Medicago truncatula: one gene and its partners. The main gene of each other region encodes a partner of the protein of the gene in region 2 in a complex. Links are inferred from orthologs where the notes say so. Each region holds a gene or a part of one and is shown on either strand. Other genes may lie near its edges.

The links.
Region 1: WPP domain-interacting tail-anchored protein 2 (region 2) and RAN GTPase-activating protein 1 share a complex: the UniProt entries of both Arabidopsis thaliana proteins name them as parts of the ran complex. The link is inferred for Medicago truncatula from reciprocal best matches to the Arabidopsis thaliana genes WIT2 and RANGAP1.
Region 3: WPP domain-interacting tail-anchored protein 2 (region 2) and RAN GTPase-activating protein 2 share a complex: the UniProt entries of both Arabidopsis thaliana proteins name them as parts of the ran complex. The link is inferred for Medicago truncatula from reciprocal best matches to the Arabidopsis thaliana genes WIT2 and RANGAP2.

The regions. Positions count from the first base shown.
Region 1 is NC_053042.1:35,965,789-35,973,823, reverse strand, and holds RAN GTPase-activating protein 1, read right to left. Parts: upstream 3,101-8,035; 5' UTR 2,752-3,100; intron 2,161-2,751; 5' UTR 2,150-2,160; coding exon 548-2,149; 3' UTR 228-547; downstream 1-227. UniProt on the Arabidopsis thaliana protein: GTPase activator for the nuclear Ras-related regulatory protein Ran, converting it to the putatively inactive GDP-bound state. Plays a role in spatial signaling during cell division.
Region 2 is NC_053047.1:21,516,536-21,524,241, forward strand, and holds the start of WPP domain-interacting tail-anchored protein 2, read left to right. Parts: upstream 1-4,674; 5' UTR 4,675-5,091; intron 5,092-5,129; exon of another isoform or gene 5,130-6,209; intron 6,210-6,512; 5' UTR 6,513-6,553; coding exon 6,554-7,055; intron 7,056-7,149; coding exon 7,150-7,706. UniProt on the Arabidopsis thaliana protein: Together with WIT1, required for the nuclear envelope docking of RANGAP proteins in root tips. Plays a role in nuclear shape determination.
Region 3 is NC_053042.1:50,999,654-51,007,290, forward strand, and holds RAN GTPase-activating protein 2, read left to right. Parts: upstream 1-5,056; coding exon 5,057-5,111; intron 5,112-5,228; coding exon 5,229-6,841; 3' UTR 6,842-7,108; downstream 7,109-7,637. Other genes in the region: 2-hydroxyisoflavanone dehydratase, read left to right, coding at 1-336. UniProt on the Arabidopsis thaliana protein: GTPase activator for the nuclear Ras-related regulatory protein Ran, converting it to the putatively inactive GDP-bound state.

The DNA of each region.
Region 1 (8,035 bases), on a different chromosome or scaffold from region 2:
GAAACGAATACAAATTAGACTACAAAGATTTGGACAAAAAGTATATATCAAGGCCGTGACAGTAGATTTTGAATAAAATCTCATCCCTGTAGCAACATTTACTTTGCTTGCAATTGGTTTATGTTGTTTATAGACTAAGCCTACAATGCACAACATCAAAAGTATGATGCAGTCCTTCAGTAATAATCTGCATATGGAATCAATTGCAAACACGACCAGCAATCAAGTGTAATAACCTGCTTATTGAATCAATTGCAAATATTTAAGCACGAATCAGCAATCAAAGATAATAAATTGCCAGCAAAAGGCACAATAAAGCCCAAAAAATTCTACCATTCATACCATTTGCCTATTTCTTGTCTTGCCAGATATATTAAGAGCATATATCTGGTAAACTTCAATAAGCCAAGTTATGGAATCGAAAATCTAAAATACAAAGATTAAAATGCTAGCTGCTCAGTATAAAAAAAGTATGTCTATTGCAAACATAATTGGCCTACAAATTAATCTGAAGTAGCAATCGCATGACAGAGTCCTATGAATCTTCTTAAATCTCAAGGCCTTTCAGTTTTGACTCCAATTCATCATTATCGGAATTTTCTTCAGCCTCTTCATCAATGTCCTCTCCTTCAGGATCATTCTCATCCAAAGGACCCAGAATGTCAGGTGAGTTTTTAAATATGTCCTTTAACTCGTCAATCCCTTCATCAGAAATGAAGTTAGCATTAACATTCAGCAACTTAAATCCAGGTTTCTGGACAACAGCTTCTGCCAACAGTTTGGCTCCTGACCATGTGATCAAATTTGTACTCAGATCAACTTCACTTAATTGGCCAAGACCTTCCAGCGCCTTACTGATTAAACCTGCACCTTCATCTTTCAATTCATTCTCGGATAAATTTAACTTGGTGAGGAACTGCTTTGATGATATACATTCAGCTACAGAAACAGCAGTTTTAGCAGTAATGTCATTCCCAGCCATATCCAAAATTTCCAGTGACGGTGCAGATTCCTTCAAAGCATTAGCAAGGGCTTCTGCACCATCGTCCTCTAAGTTCAAATAACTGAGGTATATCTCTGTAAGATCAGCAAATACAGGTATAACTTTACTTAGAGCAACTCCAGCTTCCACACCAAACATGTTGTCACGCAAATCAAGCTTCTTCAAATGCGTGCAAGCCCCAAGCGCTTCAGCAAGAGCAACACCACCTTCAGCGCCTACTCTGGTAGATGAACACCGAAAATCTTCCAAAGCTGGGGAACGTTTCATAACATCAGCTATTGCAAATGCTCCTTCATCTCCAGTCATGTTATTATGGAAATGAAGAACCTTAAGCTTCTCAGTGGAAGGGATCAATTCAGCAACTGCTTTTGCAGCTTCCTCTGATATACCATCATTCATCAAATAAAGCTCCTCCAAGTCATTTTGTGATTTAAGGAGTGCCCGGAATGCTCTAACCCCCTTTTCGCCCATGGCATTATTTGACAGGTTAAGATGTCTCAACACAGCTCCTTCTAGTGCAGAAGAAAATATATTCATCACTTCAATAGCTTCTGCTTCTGGTCTCCCAGCAATAAAATCTGACAGATCTACCTCTTTCAGTTGATCTTTAATTGATATTAGCATGGGTTCAACGACATGAGCAGCATCCAAACCAAAACTTCTATTACTGAAACATATATTTGTAAAAGAGTTTGGTCCCATCAATGGTTTTAGAAGCTCTGAAGCTTCCTCCCCATCAATGAAAGCTCTGCGACCCCCAGAAATGTCAAAAACAGTTTCAACAGCAGCATCACCCTTTTCAGATATCAACTCCCCATTCTCCTCCTTCCCTCTTGGTCCTCTTTTCAAAACCTCCAACATAAGCTTACTCGATTCCTTGGCATAAATTTGCACAGCAGAACTCCCATCACCATCGGGCTCCTTTTCAAAGTGTTGGGTCGCAGTCACAAAAGCTGCATCCTCAATTTCCTTTGCATCCTTCTCAGCCTCATCTTTGTTAAGAAGTCCATACTTTCTAGAGAAAATGGACGGAGTCGTCAAGTTCCTGACCATCCGTCCAACCAACATCGACCTAGTACTCTGACTTGGAGGCCACAACTTGATTGAAAGTGTTCGGTGTTGGTACGACGGTACGGTAGAATCCATATCAACAGAACCTAGAAACAAGTATAGCAACAAATTTAAAAGTTTTCTGAATCATAATCTTCACTAGTGCCTATAAAACAACAGAAGACATAAAACTACTATCTAAAATTCATTAATTTGCTTTCTTCTTCAATAATAACTACAGTATAAAATCAAAACCAAAGAACCACAATATGCATACATAGTGATGTATTTTAACAGCACTAGAGTTATAATGACTACATATTTCAGTAACCCCACGGATTAATCATTCCTTGGGACCGAATACGAAGTTTTCAAAAATGAAAATGACTACAACTTTTAAATAAACCCTAAAAAAATTAATTTGTACAAATCAATAACTACCAAGGTTTCAAAAAAAGGACCGGTGCCGGGATTGCGGCCGTTACAAAACGGTATCAGCAGCCACCGTGACCGTTTTTGGATCTTTTCACGCCGAGAACAAAAATCACAGGAAATCGCCGTTACGGACTCCGTTACAGACTTGAAAATTCAGAAATTTGAACAGGAGAAAAGGAATCGAATCTCATATTAAAAAGGAATCTGAATCTTATCGATAACAAGCAGAGAAGAGAAAGAAAAGAGGGGAATAGATCTAGTACCTGAGTGAGAAATGAGAACGCAGAAACCCTAGAAAAGATAAAGTGCAGTAGCAGCAGAGAGAAAACGAAAAAGAAGATTTTTGAAATGATGATTAAAATTAGTTGGAGCCTTTTTATGCTGGAGCGGGGAAAAATAAAAATAAAAATTAAATTTAATGATTTTAATGTTTGAAAATTGAAAAATATGATAAAGATATTTGGATAGGGTAAAGCGTGCGTGGAAAAACTGGAGGGAAATGATTGAAAATGAAAAAAATGTGATGGATGGATCAAAATCAAAATCTCAATCGAATCCAGCTTTTTTTAAACGCCACCATTGAAATTGAAATCGAAATCCCAAAGCGTAGATTTTCCGATTCCGACAAAATGATGGTTTTAGCCTGTATACATCTGAATTTCTTCATGCATGACGTCACAAACCCTAATTGTGGTTTTATTTGGGCCTATACTTGGGCTTTGGAAAATCTTTGACTGGACTAGCTTATTATGCTGACAAATGCTGAAAAACATTTCTCTTTCCCCCTATATCTCTTAGAATCCCTAAATACACACATTCGGTTCTTTTTAAAAGAAATATACATCCGATTGTTTTTTTTTTTTATGAAGGAATACACATTTGATTGTAATCTACTAGGATTTTTTTTGTAAAAAAAAAATACTAGATGTATGTTTATTTTGGAAGTTATCTCCTATACGCGTGTTTGGCAGAAAGAAAAAAATAAAACACATCTGGTATATAACTATCATGTGTATAAATGGGCCTCAAAAGAAATGTTAAAAACTGAATTATGAAAATTTAACTTCATACCCCATTAATCCACTCAAAACAAATTATTTACCAAAAATATCCTTTTAGTTTAACAAATATAAAGATTTTTTTTTTCAAAAAACACGTATCTTCTAAATTGACCAAAGATCCCAAAAGAAAGAGCAAGTTTTTAAATTTTTCCTAAAGTTTTGCTTTTTATAAGGTTTGTTTGAATATTTAAATTGGATATTTGTTTTCAAAACTTTTTGGTTTCAAACAAAAATTTTGGCTTGAATATTCAAACCAAATCTTTAAAATTTCAAAACATTTTCCCTTGCATATCCTAAAAGAATGGTATTTGACGTTTTTGAATTATAAAATATGAATTGTATTTATCCATTTTTTATCATATTCAACTCAATTTATTAAAATGTTATAATTTACAGTGGCATACTTTAAAATACACAACATGATTTAAAAAATATTTTTAAACTTTTTTTCAAAACCCTAGCTTCTTTTTTCTCTGCCCTCTCTCTACACAAAACTTACTGCCGCCGCCCAAAAATTCAATATATATTCTTGAGATGTAGAGTCCGTTTATGGTGGTGCGACGAGCGGCTTGAGCCCTCCGCACCACCTACCTCCAGATCTGTCGATGGTCCTAAACTGCAATTTTGACGGTGGACCTCTGGTGGAGTTGTGAATTGTGTTACGGCTCTGTTTCTCTGGCCGTTCAACACTGATTGCTTGAGTTTGTCTTTTGGTATGTGGTGGTTGATACCAGATCCGTTTTCTCTCTTGACGGTGGGTGAAGGTTCTGTTTGCTCGCAACGTAGGTGGTGATAGGTCGGTCATAAAAGTTGTGAGGCATATGATATGTTATGGTTTAGATGGATTTTTGGCTGTGTTGGTTTATGGTGCTTCGTGGTGGTTTCCGCGGTGGTGATGATACTGAGTCTTTTGTGGAGGTGCTTGTGGTGGTTTTTCGTGGTGCTCGTGGTGGTTTTTGTGGTGATGCTTGTGGTGGTTGGTCGTGGTTATGTTTTTTGAGGGTTTTCTTCTATGAGTTCGTTGTTGATGTGGTTTTCAAATACAAGGGTGTTTTTGATAGATTTGATGGTTATTTTTACGCTTGGTGTTGGAACCCTATAGATTGTATCCATCGTCGGTAGGAAGGGGAGGAGTAATGGAGGTTGCTACTGTTTTGTTTTGTAGCGGTTTTTGTTGTTGTTTTGTTGCTGTTGTGGTGTGTTTCTGGGCTGATAGGGTGCTGACAACATCTGGCTTTGTGTTTGTTTTGCATCAGGCCTGCTATTTTTTTTGTTTTGTAAGGGATTAAGTAGAGCTGTCAAAACGGGCGCCCCGGCCCGTTTAAGCCCGGCCCGACCGGGTCAAGGGCTTTTAAGGGTCGGGCTAAAAAGTCCAGTTTGAATATGGACTGGAAAAGTAGAACCCGAGCCCGGCCCTTTACGGGCTAACGGGCCAGCCCAAGCCCGTTTTTTTTTTCTTTCTTTTATTTCATTCTGAACATAATAACATTTTTTTAGTTTTTTTTTTTAAAAAGCAAGGGCGATCAGACTCTCATTTTGAAGTAAAATGGACCTTTGTTCACTGCCTAGAATGAAAACCCATTCTAAGCAAAGTGCTTGTCCGTCTAAGCAACAAAAGTAATGTTGTAATTTTCGTTTTGTCATGAAAATACACCATTTCCTTAATATAAGAGCAGCATGATGCATTTCAGAAAACAAATAAATGTAGAAACTACTTTTACCAATATATCTGAAATGAAATTCCTACATTATGCTTTGATCACCTTTTGTCTTGTGAAAATGCTTGTTCCACAGACTACAAACAATCGAATTGAAAATGCTTGCAGTCACCATGTAACATACACAGACCAACAAAAAAATAATAAAAAGTAACCCACTTGAATTTTTGGCGGGCTGCCCGAGGCCCGAACGGGTTACGGGCTTTTACGGACCGGGCTAAAAAGCCCTAGAAAAATTCGGGCTCCAATTTTTCGGCCCAGGCCCTGCGTTTTATTCGGGATTTCGGGCCGGCCCATACGGCCCGCCCCATTTTGACAGCTCTAGGATTGAGGATTGGCTCTATTGTCTTTAAGCTCAATCTGTTTCTGCTTTTTATGCATGGCTAGTTTATTTTTGGGGTTGTTAGTAATTTGGAGGTGTTCTGCCTATACAAGACGCATTCTTTAAAGCTAAATTTCTAATACAATAAAATAGATGGAGAATGAGTGAAAAAGGTGTGTCATCCCTCTCGCATGCCCTCCGAAAATTTTGGGAACAGAAGATTACGAGGCAGTGAAGGTGGAATCTTATATGTACAATCTCATATCCAAATCGATGAGGAATACAATATGGAGAGGATCAACCACCTTTTGACCATTCATACTAACCCTACAATAAGGCATAAATGTCTTTGTTGATCTTGTTTGTAAAAGGTCAATTGTGAAATTATGACTTCGTAACCATCCCAAAAGAAAACAGAGAAAAAAAAGAGAAGAATAAGGAATATGAGTTTTAAAATGAAGAGTACAAAAGAAAGGAATGGTATTTGAGGGCAAAGTTCAACAAATATTGTTTTTACAGTCAATTCAAACGTGTAATACAATCAATAAAACGTGTATAACACCGCACATTGACCCAAAAACCGTCAGACCTTCCAAATGTCACTGACGAAACCACTTTCCAAATTCTAGAATGTTTCAGATTATATGATCCAAATATATGTCCAATATTAGTTCATATTATATAATCCAAAATTGTCCAGATTATGTTAAATCTTGTGATTTGGATGGTTTGACACATTTCAAATTGTATAATCTAAATTAGTCAAATACATGATTTTTTGTGGTCCACTTTGCACCAAAAGTTTTCATGACCTATGACACATATGGACTTCTATAAATTGGCGTGTTTGGTTCATTTGAAAACCACACGACACAACAATGAACACTTATCAAATAAATATGAACACTAAACTAGCTGTAGAGTTTACTATAGCGGAGAAACTGAATCTACTTATGGTCCACATTGATATCACACTGTGTGACTTTAAAGGTCAGCTAGACCAAATTAACAGTCTCAACCACAAAGATACAAGAACGGTAGATAGTGTTGAGTATCGTCGTCTGTCAATCGATTCAGATGAGTGTGTTCATTTCACTTAGATGAATCTTCAGAACGATGACGAGGTGAGTACCATGTTCTTTATGTTTGGTCAGTATGGTTCAAAGAGACTGATCAAGTTTCAAGTTTCATTTATTAGATCTTTTTCTTGATATTCAATCGATGACCTACAGAGAAATCAAGGAATGCATGGATATACCATATGAATATTTTAGTTGGTTGTTCCATGATGTTGTTTATATTTAAGTATTATGTTTTACTTTTTTGTATTTTGTTATTGAATTATCTTGTTGAAATTATGTAGTTGAAATTGTTATGTTTAATTTATGCTGTTGTTGTAGAATTTGATGGCAGATTTACCTATTTATTATGTTCTAAACACGGTTTGAATTATATAATCTGAAACAAATCAAACCCCCAAATCACAATTTTTAACACAATTTATGCACGTTTCAGATTATATATTCTGAACCAATACTAGACATGATTTTAGATTATATAATCCAAAATATTCTAGATTTTGAATTGTGATCTTACAAGCAAAGTTTGAGCGATTTGTGCTTCTTTTTTGACAAGTTTGGTTCATTTTACACATTTTGTTTGACTATAGTTACAATATAGAAAGGTGTTATGGGTATAAATAATCTTGCATTCTTCTTTATTTTCATTGCAATTTCCCTCTTCTTTTCTTTTTCTCTTTTCTTTCTTACTTTTCCTTTCATGACGAATATGATGTCATGGTCGCTGTTGATCAAAAACTTCGATCATTTGTGGGATTTTTGTAGGATGGTCAACATAGACGTTTGGTTATTTATTTTTGATTTTTCTATAGGTCTCAGATTATATAATTTGAAATAACACAAATACACTACGAATTATACAATATGAACGGGACTGAAATGAAAAATTTAGATGGAGCACAAGAAACGAGTAAAAGAATAAAAAATCTCTTAATTGTATGTATGTTATGTAGTTACTTTTGCAAAGGCCTTTTTGTTGAGCATTTCTTTTATGGCATTGTCTGTCTCTAAGATCCCCAAAAAAATTTGGGAGATAACTTCCGAGGAACATTATTTATAATTTTTACCACCTTAGAAAAAAACTCACAAAAGACATTTTTTAGCAAAAAGATATTAATGGGGTTTAAAAAAAAATCTTCTTTTTTGTGTAGAGGGAAAGCCTTGTCATTTTTTCATGGAAAGTTATACCCCGCAACCCTATATTTATACCTTGACCCTAACATTTAACACAAAGTTTCAAATTTACCCTTTATATAAAATAATACTCAATCACTCTTTCACCCCACCTTTCTTCTGGAAAACACACAACAAACATTCACCCCCACCTTCTTCTGGAAAACAAACGCAAAACAAGCAATAAGCATTAC
Region 2 (7,706 bases):
TTTTATCCTCCATGCTTTCTAGTGTAGGTTTGGACTCCAAGACTTTTGCCACCAATTGAGTTAGGGCCTTCTTAGCTTTCTTGGTCCTCGCCCTTGTCGTTGGTCCTCCTAGCCCTTGAATTGAAGCACTTGTGTCATGGACAATCATGCCCTCATCACTTTTTCATTGAAAAACCCAATTTGCCACGTAAGCGTTTCATCACACATCAAGCTTCATATTTCATCTTTCGTACCTACAACATTATATTAATGTAAGGGTCAATTTCCTTATCCAAATCGGTTTATACTCAAAGCACAATAAACAATGCCTTAAAATAGATAGTATAAAAATTTCTCGATCAAAAAGAAATAAAAATACACTCAAGCCATATTTTAAGTAAAGAATTCAAGTGTTTGTGGGAGACTTTTTTACCCCGACGCCATTTATCTTGGTGGCGTGGAATAGCCAGACTTTTTCCCCCCAAAAAAGACCCAAGTGTTTGTGGGAGACTTTGCAGGAGGGTTGAATGTCTTCCTTTAGTTTCTGCCTGTGTTTCGCTTTGAGGCCTTCATCTTATATGGAACACCACTTTTGTTGAAACTGAATTTTGGGCAGTTGTCAACCCATCCTCCTTTGCACTTTGTTTGTGGTTGAAATCCCTCGACGGATTTTGCATCTTCTTTATCGAAAACTGCACTACACCTAGGACAAAGCATGACATTAGTGTTGGAAATCTTGCATCTATTGAGGAAATAAATAAGATCCTCTTCAGCCCTGGGATACGCCACTTTCATCTTTTCAGCAAATTAGTCTTCATTAACCATTGCATTTTCAAATTGGTGGTCCTCACTGACCATCTCAGCATCAGTTTGCAACTTCGCCTCGGGGGCTGGATCTTTAGGAGGAAGTTCAGTACCAAATTCGTCTGAGATGTCCACCATATTTATGGCAACTACTTCAGCGTACATGGAGTTAGCTTTCTTCAAGGGATCTGCATCAACTTGCATAGGTTGTTTAGCTTTGTCTCCAAATTTCTACCTTCCCTCGTCAAGAGCTTTCTGCACGGAGTCCCTAAAACGAGTACAACGAGACAAATTATGGCCTAAAAGGCCATGAAACTTGCAAAATCCTCTCTTTTTTCTTTGTTCAAAAGGAGGTAATTTCATATTTTTTAGCACTAAGATTATGCCATCAGTGACCAAGAGATCGAAAATCTCATCGCATTTAGAAACATCAAAAATATATGTTTTAGGAGGGTATTTGTCGTTTTTAGGTTCTTTAGGGTTCTTTCTGTTCGATGGCCTTAACAATTTACATGCATAAGGCGGCCCATCTTTTAACTTTGCCAAATTAATTTCATTATCTTCAATAGTATCTGATCCCCAATCGAATTCTGGGTCACTGTCTCCTGTGTCTACATAGGCAACTTTCTCCCTTTTAGGGAACCTGTTTGTCCGGGCTTTCTCATGCCTTAAGCCTTTCGACTTTTCGAACTCTATCTGCCAATTGTGCTATATCCCTATGGTCTTGAGTATCCAGTTTCGTTCAAACATAATAATGAAGGCCACCAGCAGCCATTTCGACCAATTCATGTTCTGGCACTGAAGTGAAACATCTAGCCTTAAGAAGACGGAATCTATTTAGATAATCGTCAATCGACTCGTGCGTTTTACGTCGAACGCTGGCTAGTTCCTTCCAACTAATCTTAGATTGACCCATGTAGAATTGCTCATGGAAAGCTTTTTCCAATTGATTCCAACTAAAAATGGAATGAGGAGGCAATGTTGTAAACCAAGTGAAAGCATTTTTTTTCAAAGAACTTGGAAAATATTTCATTTTCAAATTCTCATTATTTGCCATCTCACCTTGGTTATATCACGGTCTCTATAGTACTAGCTTGGATCGATTGTGTACCACCTGGTGGTAATGGTGGGTTTGGGTGATGTCCCTGACGAACTAGCGGCATTCGACGCCGCTACGTTCGATATGATAAGAGGACGCATCATTTCAGGAAGTTTCTTTTTATTTCTCAATCGCATACACAACGCAAACCAACAATATTAATCGTTTAAATTTCAAAATAAAATTTCTAAACAAAAGCAATAAATGTTCCATTGGACGTGCCAATTTGTTTACACTGAAATTTGGTAAACAACCGCTGGTTTAAAAATATTTACTTGCAAGATCAACCAGTAAATCTTAAGGACATATTGTGTTTGTTATTTTCCAGAAATTTATTATTGTTCTTGAAGAACACGATAAAAAGAAGTAAAAAACAATCGAATTCAACCCAGTTGAATCCAATTGGAATTATGTAAAATGAAAGTAAAATGAATTGCTCAAAAGAAACAAGTAAATTGTAAAGACATTTAAGAAAATAAACTTAAATTGCATTCATTGAATGTAAATTGGTACACATGTTCATACATTGCAACTTGTGACTCGTTTCTCTCTTCCATGCGGATAAGAGTGTAAGTTTTGTGTATGATTAGTTTGTGACCCTTTTTCTTTTACGAGAAACTACTATTTATACTAATATAAATAACTACCTATTTTTGAATTTAAAACTACAACTGCTACAAACTAACAATACTTATCCATTCGATTTGAATTTCAAATATTTGTGCCTATGGAAATATCCGTTACTTGACCTAATCCGAAACAAAACTGCCCTTCAATAACTACGTCTGTCGAACGATACATGCGCTTCGATCACTTCTAGCAAAGTCAGCTTCGATAAAAACATTCCTTATTTCTTCGATAATCAAGTCAACTTTGGTTTGACTGCATTTAAGATAGCCTTTAAAAATATAAGCTAACAACTATATATAAAGAAAACTACTTCTTCTAGCTCTGATGGGTTGGATTTTTCTTTCCAAAAATGCCCTGAATACAAATAATTCATGTAACAAATAGATAAGAATACATTTAAATATTGAAAAAAATGTGACAAACACATAAATATATATGTCTGTTTTTTTTCTTTATTATTTAAAAAGTGTAACAAAGTAGATGAGTATATTTACTTTTTCATTATCTCAATTATACCCTTAAACAACTTTTTCTATAATAAAGATTTTTGTCGGTGTCATTAAAAAAAGTTAGATTATATTTTTTTTTGTTATATTGTTGGTGTCATTGAAATAAATAATCATGATTAGTTTGGTTTGTTATAATTTGAAAGCAACAAACATTTATATTTATTTTTTTGAAGAAAAAACATTTATATTTTTAGTTTTAATCCAAATCAAAATTTCATATAAAGAACACTTTTAATAATTTTCAAATGTTAGTGCAATAAAAAGAGCGGAAGAACGGGCACATGCGTTTCCATCTTTTCGCTAGTTAGATAATAACATAACCTTTCACTTTAGCATTGTTTGTTATCTCTTCATAGGCTTAATTGCATGTTTAGTCCCTTATGTTTATTTTAGGTTTCACGTTGGTTCCTTATGTTTTAAAAGATTCAAATTGGTTCAAAACGTTATTCATATTGGAATAATTCATTCCATCACTTGACCGTTTAAAGATTCAGATTGACAATATGGGTGATGAAATTTAACATATTTAGAAAATGTGTTTCAATTTTTTTGTTTTATTAAACTCAATATCATGTCGCAGAAGGGACTAACTTTTTTCAATGTGACTAAGGTTTTTGACCAACTTGAAACATTTAAAATGTAAGGGATCAGCTTACAACTTTTAAAACATAAAGAACCAACTTAAAACCTAAAATAAACATAAGGGATCAAACATACAGTTAAGCCTTCACTTTAACATTGTTTTAACGCTATCTGATGTTGGACATTATCTACCAAGACCTATTTTTACCCACATTCAATTTTATGTTACCGTGTCTTGGATGAAAACTAAACATGGATTGAATATGTTGATAACCGTTGATAGCGGTGAACCAATGACTTCAATTGTTATTATAGTGTATCATAAATTATTTCAGAAAGTATAGGCCCTGTGTAATTTAGTTGTACCTTTCAAGTTTTCTTCTATGGGTACTGAATTGAGTTTTAAAAAAACGTAATTGTTATCTCAAAAGAATTTGTGCAAGAATTAATCCAAAATTTTTATAACTTTCATAGTTTTAGTTTTTGTTCCTATGTCTTGACGACGTTGTATAGTTCGTGTCGATGATAATTTCACCCAACACATATACAACACAATGGTTAAAGATGAATGATATTTGTACAACTAATTTTAGATAACTTTTATGATAATTATTTTTTTCCTTATTTATTGGACAAAAACAATAAAAATAAATAAATAAAAAAGAATAAAAGCACTAAGTAATTATGAAAGAGAGAATTGTCTAAAAAATTATTCAAGAATGATTGTACGTCATCTTAAACAAAAAATTTGTCTTAAATTATATGTCGTTCTACAATATCAATAAAATATTAATATTACTTTTTTTATTATATATTTAACTATTTATTACTCTTTCATCTTTCAATTTATTTATATTTATCATATTATTTATTAAAAAACAATTTTATAAAACAACTCATTATATCTTTTTTCCATATAATATTAATTACACTTTTTAATATGCGATCAAATTGTATTAGAATTTGGGATGAAATGACAATTGAAAGTTTTAATGAGAAAGTTGTTAGAATCCAACAAGAGGGACCCACAACAACCAAGACACTTTGAGCTTTACAGCCACCTAAACCGTACGTTGGAGGGATAGATCTATCTATGTTGTCCTGTCTCTCAATTTTGTTCTTCTTACTCTATTATTATTTTGCGTCGTGCCTTTGCCAGAACTCAAACTTAAACTCAATTATTCAAATAATCTTTATCAAAACAGTTCAAGATCAACGTGCCCCTCACCCCAAGTCTTCATTTTTTCTCTTTGATTTTTTCTGTTCCTACTCTCAGGCTCTAGTTTGACCATTTTGACTTCTTCCTCTTCAAACTTATTTATCCACAATTATTGGAGACAGAGTGTCACCACAAAAAAGAAGATACCCTTTTGTTTATTTATCTTGGAGAATGTGAAAAAGTGATTAATTTGTTTATGAGTGGTAGTTAAAAGACTTGGCTAGAACTATAAGTTCTTCCAGATAGAGTCCAGAAGCATTTATAGAAAGGTAAGGCTTTATTTCTCAGTTTTCAATTGATAATTTGATGTTAACTTTGGAACTTTCTTTATTTGTATGTCCTTCCTATGAGGAAATGAGAAAGTCATAATTGTTGTTTGTTATAGCTGTGGCAGTTTCATGTTTGGTTTGGAGTTTTGTTGTAAGCTGAATCTTCATTAAAATTGTTGTAATATTTTTGGGGAGTTATAATTGATGGTTTTTTGTGGTTATCTTTCATGGATTTCTAAGGATTGGAACATATGCTTATGATTGTTGTGTGCTGGATTTGTTACAAAACTACCATCTCATGTGGTTTCTGTTGTTAAGATTCGAGTAGATACTTCATTTGTCATGAAGCATGGATACTGACACGCCGACACAGTTAATAATTTGAAAAAAATCACATAATTCAGTGTAATTACAAGTATCGGTATCGTGTCGGTGTCGGACACGACACATGTCCGACACCGAGACACGCCTAATCCGAAGAGTGTCCGTGCTTCATAAATTGTCACTATCCAAGATCCATTGGGTCATGAGTGTGTTAAGACTCAAGAGTCACACATTGTTTGTGTTAGAACAATAACTGGTAACAAAAGATTAAAGAAACGCAAATCACAAACAATGGAATGTAATCGCTGTTTACGCAGTTCGGCTAAGTTACAAACCATATATATCGTATTACAATCCAAATTACAACCATACCCCTGAATCGTACCATAGGGGCAATCACCATCCCCCCAAAACAAATAGTTGGGCCTAACGTACAATTGCAAAGCTATAGCTGCATTTCTTCAACTACATACTCATTTTTTCTTTTTTAATGTTAGGGGTTAGTAGTGTTAGGTTTCTGTTAGTGATGGTTAGTAAGAGAGTTAGTTAACACATTAGATTGGTTAGTTTGACTAAGAAAATTAGAAGAAATTAGATGTTTCCTATAAATAAAAAATTGAGCGAAAAATAAGGTCTTAAGGTCGGGACTAGGGACTAGGGAGGTGGGTGTACAGACCCTCAAGGATTTACTACGTGTGCAAGTTATTTTCAATCTTCAGGTAAAGAACCCCATTTCGGTTGGCCTGATGGTATTGACTTGGAATCTAGGAGTGTGTTGCTACTCAAGGTCTCAGGTTTGATTCTTCCTAATACCAATTTGGATAGACTAACTTACCTTCTTAGAAAGAAAAAAAATTACCAACTGCTAATTTATGTTGTTTGTAATAGAATAGTAAAATTGCATTGCAATAGAGTAGTAACAGCCTATAAACGAATTCGATAAGTAACAAATTCTGTTTTTCATTTAAATTTCATCTCCTAGAAGTTAGAATAAAGATAGAGTTAGTATACTTAAGAAACTCTGATACTCTATTTTCTTACTTTAATAATGATGTCCATTGATGCTTGCATCCACTTAATTTCTATCTTATTTTCAGAACTAGCCTCTAATTTCTGAACCAAGAAAGAGATCCAAGAAATGGATGCAGCTTTAGAAAAAATCTACTCACTCAAGGGTTTCTCAACGAAAGAAAACGACATCCAAGATCTTGATATATCCTTGCAAGCCTTAACAGAAATAGATCATCGGCTAGCCTATTCTTCCGAGAAGCTGGTGAACTTACATATTTTGTATATTTATCTATTGGCTCGAGAAAACGATCTTGAAGAAATAGATTCGAAGAATACCTGCGACTTAGAAAACTCATTTGAGAAGGCAATGATGTTTGATCTATTGTCTGGCATTTTAGATTTTGAGGCAACAGAGCTTGACAATTTCATGGACACTCTACATGAAGAAATTGTTGATGCTCGTCATAAAATATTGTCGTGCAGACATTTGACTGAGGTTTTCTTTATAATGGATGAAAAATTGCAAGATTCCGAAGAGTCTGAGAAGCAATTACAACAACAGTTATTGGAATTAAAGATTCAGTCATCGCAGCTTCAGAAAAGTCTTGTGGCTTTCCAACACGAGAATTGTAAGTTGAAATATTACACAGATTTTTCTTTTCGAAAAATTTACATTGAGGTATTTTTCATTTATTTATCGTTTTTAGTCATTCATATACACAGGGGAAATGGGGAAGGCTTTGAATTTATTAGAAAATAGTCATGTGTCAAATGTGAAAGTGAAAACGAAAGATCAGAGAATGGTTGAACAACAGAGATATATTCTTCGAATGCTTGAGAAGTCGCTCGCAAGGGAGCTAGATCTTGAAAAGAAGTTAGCAGAGTCAAGAAATAACGAAGAACTAAAGATGAAACTCCGCTACACTGAACAAGTGGCATTTTATATGGAAGAAACAGCAGAAGTTGTTTGGGGAAGATTTCTTGAAGCAGACAATGCTACCGAGGTGTTAATGGGGATTTCGAAAAGTATAATGGGACGTCTCCAAGTAACTGAGTTCAACCTCAACGGTTATATGCAGCGAGAAAATGAGCTAAAATTGAATATTCAAATTTTAATCGAACAACTTAAGGCTAAAGATGCTGCTTTAGAGAAGAACGGGAGATGTAATGTTAATGTTGACGATATTCAGGAAAATACTGAGGTGTTGGATTTGAGGGAAAAGATGAAAATTCTAGAAGAAGAACAAAAGAATTTTGAGGTTCAGATAAATTCTTTGAGC
Region 3 (7,637 bases), on a different chromosome or scaffold from region 2:
GTTGAAGGGCATGAACAAAGTTCACCTATGAAAGTATGGAATTTTGTGTATCCTGATGCACCTGGTGGGATTGATAACCCTTTGATCAATCCTTTGGCTATTGATGCTCCAAGTTTGGATATTATTGGTTGTCCTAAGATATTGATTTTTGTTGCTGGGAATGATGATTTAAGAGACAGAGGGATTTGGTACTATGATGCTGTTAAGAAAAGTGGTTGGAAAGGTGATGTGGAACTTGTTCATGTTGAAGGTGAAGAACATTGTTTTCAGATTTATCATCCTGAAACTCAGAGTTCTATTGATATGGTCAAACGTATTGCTTCTTTTCTTGTTTGATTTGAAGAGGGTCATTAGGTAATTTTATTGTTGATTTTTGTAATAAATTGGAGATGGGGTTGCTGAATTCATGATCAATTTTAATTATCCTGTTTTGTTTATATGGGATATTCAATTCAATGAATTTCATATTTGTCTTTTATACTGCAATCACGACAATCATGATATTGGTGTACTTACTATTTTTATTATAGTGTAATAAAAAAAAAGTTAATTTAGTCACAAATTTGTATTCTTCTGTAATTGAGATTAGAATATGTTTTTTTGTGGGCATGTGATTCCACAGCCTTGTGGTTTGGAGTTTGGACTGTACTAGAGTTTGAGAAATTTGGTAAATCATTGAGAATTCTTAAAAGGGATTCCTATAAATAATGTTAGAATTGTGACAAAAATAAAATGAAACGTCCCACCAGACAAGAGGTTGGTCTGCAGTGAAAGCAGCCAACTTTTCATCATTTTTTTATCACATCAATTTTTTCATTCGTCACAGGTTTAGTATCTATTTTCATTTTTTTGGTACAATCCTTTTATTTCATTTTACCTTCTCTTATTTACAATCTCTCATGGGTTATGAGAACTGAAGCATGGCCTCGTGGGGATGAAAGTTGTTTGAATAGTATACGAATAGGAAAGTGAGGTGGGGTTTAGCCTGGAAAAGGGGAGTTGTTTCCCACAATGGGAAAGTTGATTATGTCCATTAGATTAAATGAGAAACAAATCCTTATCCTACTCTCTCAACACTAGATTATTGTTTTACACTATCTTCCACCATCTCTCTTTCATGTCCCACACACTCATACCACAACCACCACTATATCAGATACAGCAACCACCACACACCACCATGTTGCTGCTGGAAAACTCAGATATTATAAGTGCTTAATTAGGCTATTTATCCAAAGACACTCTAGCTCTTTTTAAGCTTTTGTTTAATAAAAATGATGAAATTCATTCTTTTAATCTACCATAATCAGTGGTAACTCCATGCTAAAAGTGTGATGCTTAGATTTTGTCGAGTCAAAGCTTAAAAAAGGCAATCAAACTAAGAAGCAGGTATATATTTAGGATAGGACCAATGGTCTTTCCTCCACCGCCTGAGACAACGCTGTAGTTGCAGTTTTGATTTTTAAAATTAAGTTGCAACTCTTAATTCTTTTGGGCGAGAATTTTAAAGCTTGTGTTAATGAGCTTAGGAGAAGGATTTGAGAAGTTATTTTATGATTCTGAATTCAAAAAACAAGAAAGAGAGATGGTGGAAGATAGTGTAAAACAACGATATAGTGTATGAGAGAGTAGGATAAAGATTTGTTACTCATTTAATCCAATGGACATAATCAACTTTCCTATGGTGGGAAACAACTCCCTTTTCCCATACTAAATGCCACCGGAAAGTGAACCACACCACTTATTTATCTGAAGGAAAATACTTGTTTAGGCACAAGTGTTTGGTCACTAAATTTAGGCACACATACATAATTGAGAAAAGATAGAGAAAGAGAAAATAATTAGATCATATTTATTTTTTAAATAATTAAATAAAATGTATTTTTCTTATCAAAAAAATAAAATAAAATATATTTTTATGTGTGGTGTGTCCAAAAGCTTATGTTCGTGCAAGACTTTCTCTTATCTGAAAGTCTCAATTAAATTAAGAAGGGTGGCAATGATGTAAGCGCTAAGAAGTATGGCAATGCTTGGATGATAGCCTAAAATTTGGCCTTTGTCACGGTGATATACGGATAACACTTGTGTATCACTGGGATATCAATGTTATATAACATTGGCCAATGAGGGTGTGCCACGTAGCACTTCACATGTATATCTTTTCTCTTTCCTCTTTAGTCATTTCTTACATCGGTTATGTGGCATGCCATCATTGGCCAATGTTATATAACATTGGTATTTCAATAGCACACAAGTTCTATCCGATGATTAGACATGACAATGGGGCGGATCGGGGGCTGGTTTACGCATCCTCGTCCCTGTCCCCACTTCCATGCACCCGCCCCCATCCCCAAACCATAACGGGTAAAAATTGAACACCCAACCCCGCCCCCAATGGAGACAGGTCTCTCTGCCCCGCTCCACCCGCAAAAACTCTATTTTTTATAAAATATTTAAAAAAATGCATATTTTTTCATAACAACAAAAAATAATAACTATATTAATAATTAAATATTTAATAAAAAAAATTTAAAAGAGCAAAATAATTATAGTAAATATGTTTCTAAAGAGTAATGATATATTAAAATTGGTTGGTGCTTATGGAAATAAGATTATAAAACTTAATAAAGTAAATTTTAAAAAACGGGTGTGGGGCGGGTGTAAGCATCCCCCGCCCCCGGCGCCGCCTACGTACTGAAAACTAAATTTCTCTCACACCCGCATCTAGTTAAATCGGTTTTCCCCGTTAAATTTGGGACGGGGACGATCGGGTTTGGCGGGGGCGAGTTTTGTTGTCATGTCTACCGATGATATACAATGTAAGTATGGAGTTGTGAAAGACATAAATTCAGAAAAAGGCTAATGTTGTTTCTCCCAAGAAAATGTTTCGTGAATGCATCACGACCATTTAATTTGTAAATTTTTTAACATGACAATTTATTCGGGACACCTTCGTGGTCATTTTTTTCTGTATTTAGCAGTGCTCTTAGTAAAATTATCAACAACAGAAAAGAAAATGAGATAATATAAGCATTTGATACTCATGTGCTAAATGCCTTCTTATAGTTTTTTTAAAAATGCAGTGTCAAATCCATTTTTGTGGCCAATCACTTTAGCATTCTGATTAGAACTCCCTCCTTGTGCACTCTTTCTCCAGAATGGTGAAAGTTTAAAGTATGTTTAAATTATCGTTTCAATCAGCCATTCTACTTTCTGGTGCAATTTTAAGCCTATGTTTGTATTGAGGATGGATTTGTTGTAAAAGTGCGTTTCGAGAGATCATACAATTTGTAGCTTCTCTATTATCAATTTCCAAGGCTCTCAAACACACGGTAGCAGTGGTGAAATGTCAAACAAGCACATACTTAAATGATTCCATTGTGACCACACAATCGCATTACGATTTCTAGAAATTCAAAATACATGATTTATAGACGATCAATTCAGTAAATTTATCAACAACATAAAAGAAAAGAAAATGAATTAAGTAAAGACATAAATATTAGAGACACTCCAACCTATTTTGACAATAAATCAACTCTTTTTTTAAAATGAATTAATATAAACAAAAATGATGGTTGAAAAATTAATGTGTGTGGCAAAATTTTAATCCACATATATCAATTTTCTAACTACCTTTTGTTTTTGTTTATATTTATTCTGGAGGGAGTATGTTAATCATAATATTAAATTTCTCATGTGATTAATGTTTTTTTTTTTTTTTGTGATGGTCAGAGTTTAAACTACGAATATAGTAATCCAACTAACAATAGAATTCCTCCGCTAAACTTACCACATTGTTAAAAATACGGTTATTCCTAGCCCTCCAAATAACCCACAAGGTGGTATGCCAAACAAGACGCCTACCCATTTGAAACAATTTACTAGTCGTCCTCCCCGCATTCCAACAAAGCCAATGAACGAACAAATTGGGCGGTGTAATGAATTCAATCTCAAACCACCTTTTGACTTTCTCCCAAACCGAGCTAACTACATTGCAATGCAAGAACAAATGGTTGGTGGATTCCTCCTCCAAATCACACAAAACACAATGCAAACTTAAATTTGGAGGTAGAGCATGATGATAAAGAAGATTCAAACGGGTCGGTATACGATTAAGCAAAGATCTCCAAGAGAGCGCCACCACCTTAGAAGGAGCCGGGCTCTTCCAAACTTGGCTAAAGACATGTTTCTCCTCTAACCCCCACTCATTCTCAATACCCGCCACCACCTCTAGCTTCTTATACAAAGAACTCACGGAAAACCTACCATCCTCTTCAAGCTTCCACCACCACTCATCCGTCCCATTTGAAGTCACAAAACCTTGAAGATCGAGTAATAAATTTGCAAGAAGGTCTTCCTCCCAAACAAACAACCTTCGCCTCCAAGTGAAAAGCCAATCTAATCCCGTGCCGGACAACACTCCTATCTCCCCTACCTTAGCATCTTTAAGGTTTGAAATAGCAAAGAGCCTTGGATATTTGTTACAAAAAGCCACCTCACCCCTCCACTTAGTCTTCCAAAAATAAGTATCTAAACCATTATGAACTTTCCTAGCCAATTCCGTATTAAACCAATTCATCCCATCACCATCATCAATGGTCATAATATCTTTCCACCATCTTGAAGTGTGACTATGCCAATTTCCACCATCATATTTTATTTGTTGTTTTGCTTAGTTTCATTTAGCTATGATTATCACATGAACAACAACGGATTATGATTGAGAAATAAAAACAGGCCCTACTTTATTATTGCAATCAATTCAGCCTATACAGTATGATATCTGTTAATTATTATTTCAATTACTTATTTGATGGGTTTTTATAGTCGTTGCTCCTATTTCTTGAGCTACTTTTCAGAGCAGTTTTTTATATCCAATTCGTAAATTAATTTTTGTTATCTGTGTATTATGTCCTTAACACTAACCTCCCATAGCTGCATTTTACATATGTGACTTATAATCATGATGACTTAACAAGTGACGAAAATGTGTCTTGTTTTTTTAGATACATTTTCAGTGTGACTTATTCTTGGTGTGTTACTTATAGTCATGATGACTGATAACCTTTCAGAATTTAGATACATTTTCAGTTTGATATCTAAAGTGGGCAAGGGCTTCGAAAATGTGTCGTATTTTTTCAGATACTTTTTCAGCGTGTGACTTATTTTTAGTGTGTGACTTATAATCATGATGACTTATAACTTTACATGAATCGTTTTTGCAGGTTTGATTGATATGGAGCTGAATTCGCAGAACAGGCCGTTCTCAATCAAATTATGGCCTCCTAGTCAGAACACTAGACAGACGCTTGTGGAGAAGATGACCAACAATCTTACTACGAAATCCATTTTCACTCAAAAGTATGAAACCTTGCACCCGAAACAGGCTGAAGAAAATGCTAAAAGAATTGAGGACAAGGCTTTTGCCACGGCAAACCTACATTACGAGAAAGAGCCAGATGGTGATGGAGGTTCTGCAGTCCAGCTTTATGCCAAAGAATGCAGTAAGCTCCTCCTAGAACTTCTTAAAATGGGTCCTAGTAAGAACAGTGTCAAAGAAGCGGTGATTTCTGATGCTGCTGCTGTCCCTCGTGAATCTGTTTTTGATATATCTAAAGGCCAAAGGGCTTTCATTGAAGCAGAGGAGGCTCAAGAACTTTTGAGTCCACTGAAGGAGCCGGGTAATTCTTTCACTAAAATATGCTTCAGCAACAGAAGTTTTGGATTAGGAGCAGCAGAAGTCGCTAAGCCGATTTTCATATCCCTCAAGGACCAGTTGAAAGAAGTAGACCTGTCAGATTTTATTGCTGGAAGACCAGAAGCAGAAGCACTTGATGTCATGAGGATATTCTCGGCTACTCTAGAAGGCAGTGTCTTGAAGTATTTAAACCTTTCTGACAATGCTTTAGGTGAGAAAGGTGTTAGAGCATTTGGAACTCTCTTGAAATCACAAAGCTGTTTGGAGGAGCTTTATCTTATGAATGATGGAATTTCAGAAGAAGCTGCTCAAGCAGTTTCTGAGTTGATTCCTTCCACAGAGAAGCTCAAAGTTCTCCATTTTCATAATAATATGACTGGAGATGAAGGAGCACGTGCTATAGCTGAGGTTGTGAAGCGTTCTTCTTGCTTGGAGGATTTTCGTTGTTCCTCCACAAGGATAGGCGATGAAGGTGGAGTTGCCTTATCTGATGCTTTGGGGGATTGCACCCATTTGAGGAAGCTTGATTTGCGAGACAACATGTTAGGTGTAGAGGGTGGGGTTTCCCTGAGTAAAGCTCTTGCCAAGAATGCAGAGTTAAGAGAGATATACCTGAGCTTCCTGAACTTGGAAGACGAAGGAGCAATTGCTATAGCTAATGCTCTTAAGGCATCAGCTCCTCGCCTTGAAGTTCTCGAGATGAGTGGAAACAATATTACAGTTGATGCTGCTCCTGCTATAGCAAACTGCCTTGCAGCCAAGCAGTTTCTTGCCAAGTTGAACCTCTCTGAGAATGAACTCAAAGATGAAGGTGCCATCCAGATAAGTAAGGCTTTAGAAGGCCTTTCACAATTAAAGGAAATCGATCTAAGTTGCAACAGAATAACCAGAGACGGGGCTCAACAATTGGCTCTCACTGTGTTGCAGAAGGTTGATTTTGAACGTCTGGACATTGACGGAAACTTCATTTCTGATGAAGGTATTAAAGAGTTAATGGTTATATTTGAAAAATCTCCGGACAAGCTTGGTCCATTAGATGAAAATGACCCTGATGGAAAAGACGGTGATGAAGAATCTGACGAAGAGGGTGGTGTGGAGGATGCACTGGAATCCAAAATGAAGAACCTTGTAGTTGATTGAATTGTAACTGTTAGTAGCTTACTGGTTCTACTGCAGAAGTAACTCTTATGACATTAGTATCAGTTTATTCATTCACAGAATCATATGTAACCGTCAAGATGCATCATTTCACCAAAATATTGAATCATTATGCGTATCTTGGTGATACTTTAATTTTGGTGGTCTAACCATTGTGGGTATCTCTGGACTAGATATCGTAATCTTGTCGTCATTAGTGTATTAACACCTGGTTATCATCAGATTCAGTGTTATGTTGGTCAATTTACATGATCGCTGTGACGAGTATTGGAGCTATTCTAATAGATACTCCAAAACTGATTAGAATATGTTTAATTTTATTCTATTATTTTCAATAAAGTCATAACATTATGGCATAATTTAATTTATGTAGCCGACCTTACACAGGGGAATAAGACTTAGTTCTTATTGTTGTATTTACAATAAAAATAAAAATGTATTGAAAAATACAGACAATAAAAATGAATTGATTTTTTTTTTGTTGGTATTTTTGAGTTTTGTTGGGTACCAATACCCTCCAAGCAAAACTATCTGACATTGTAGTGTTCACCGCATTGTGTTGTCGATTTACTTTTAATATATAAAGCAAATACAAAGGTCGTGTTTTACTAACATCTTTTTGAGAGGATGTTTTAACATTGTTCAAAATTTAAATAAGAAAATATTCCAGTGTTAGAAACGGTAATTAAACAATCATCCTTGTGAGCTTAGCTCAGTTGGTTGGGACAATGCATAAAATATGAAAGATTCGGGATTCAAACCCCGGCCATGACCAAAA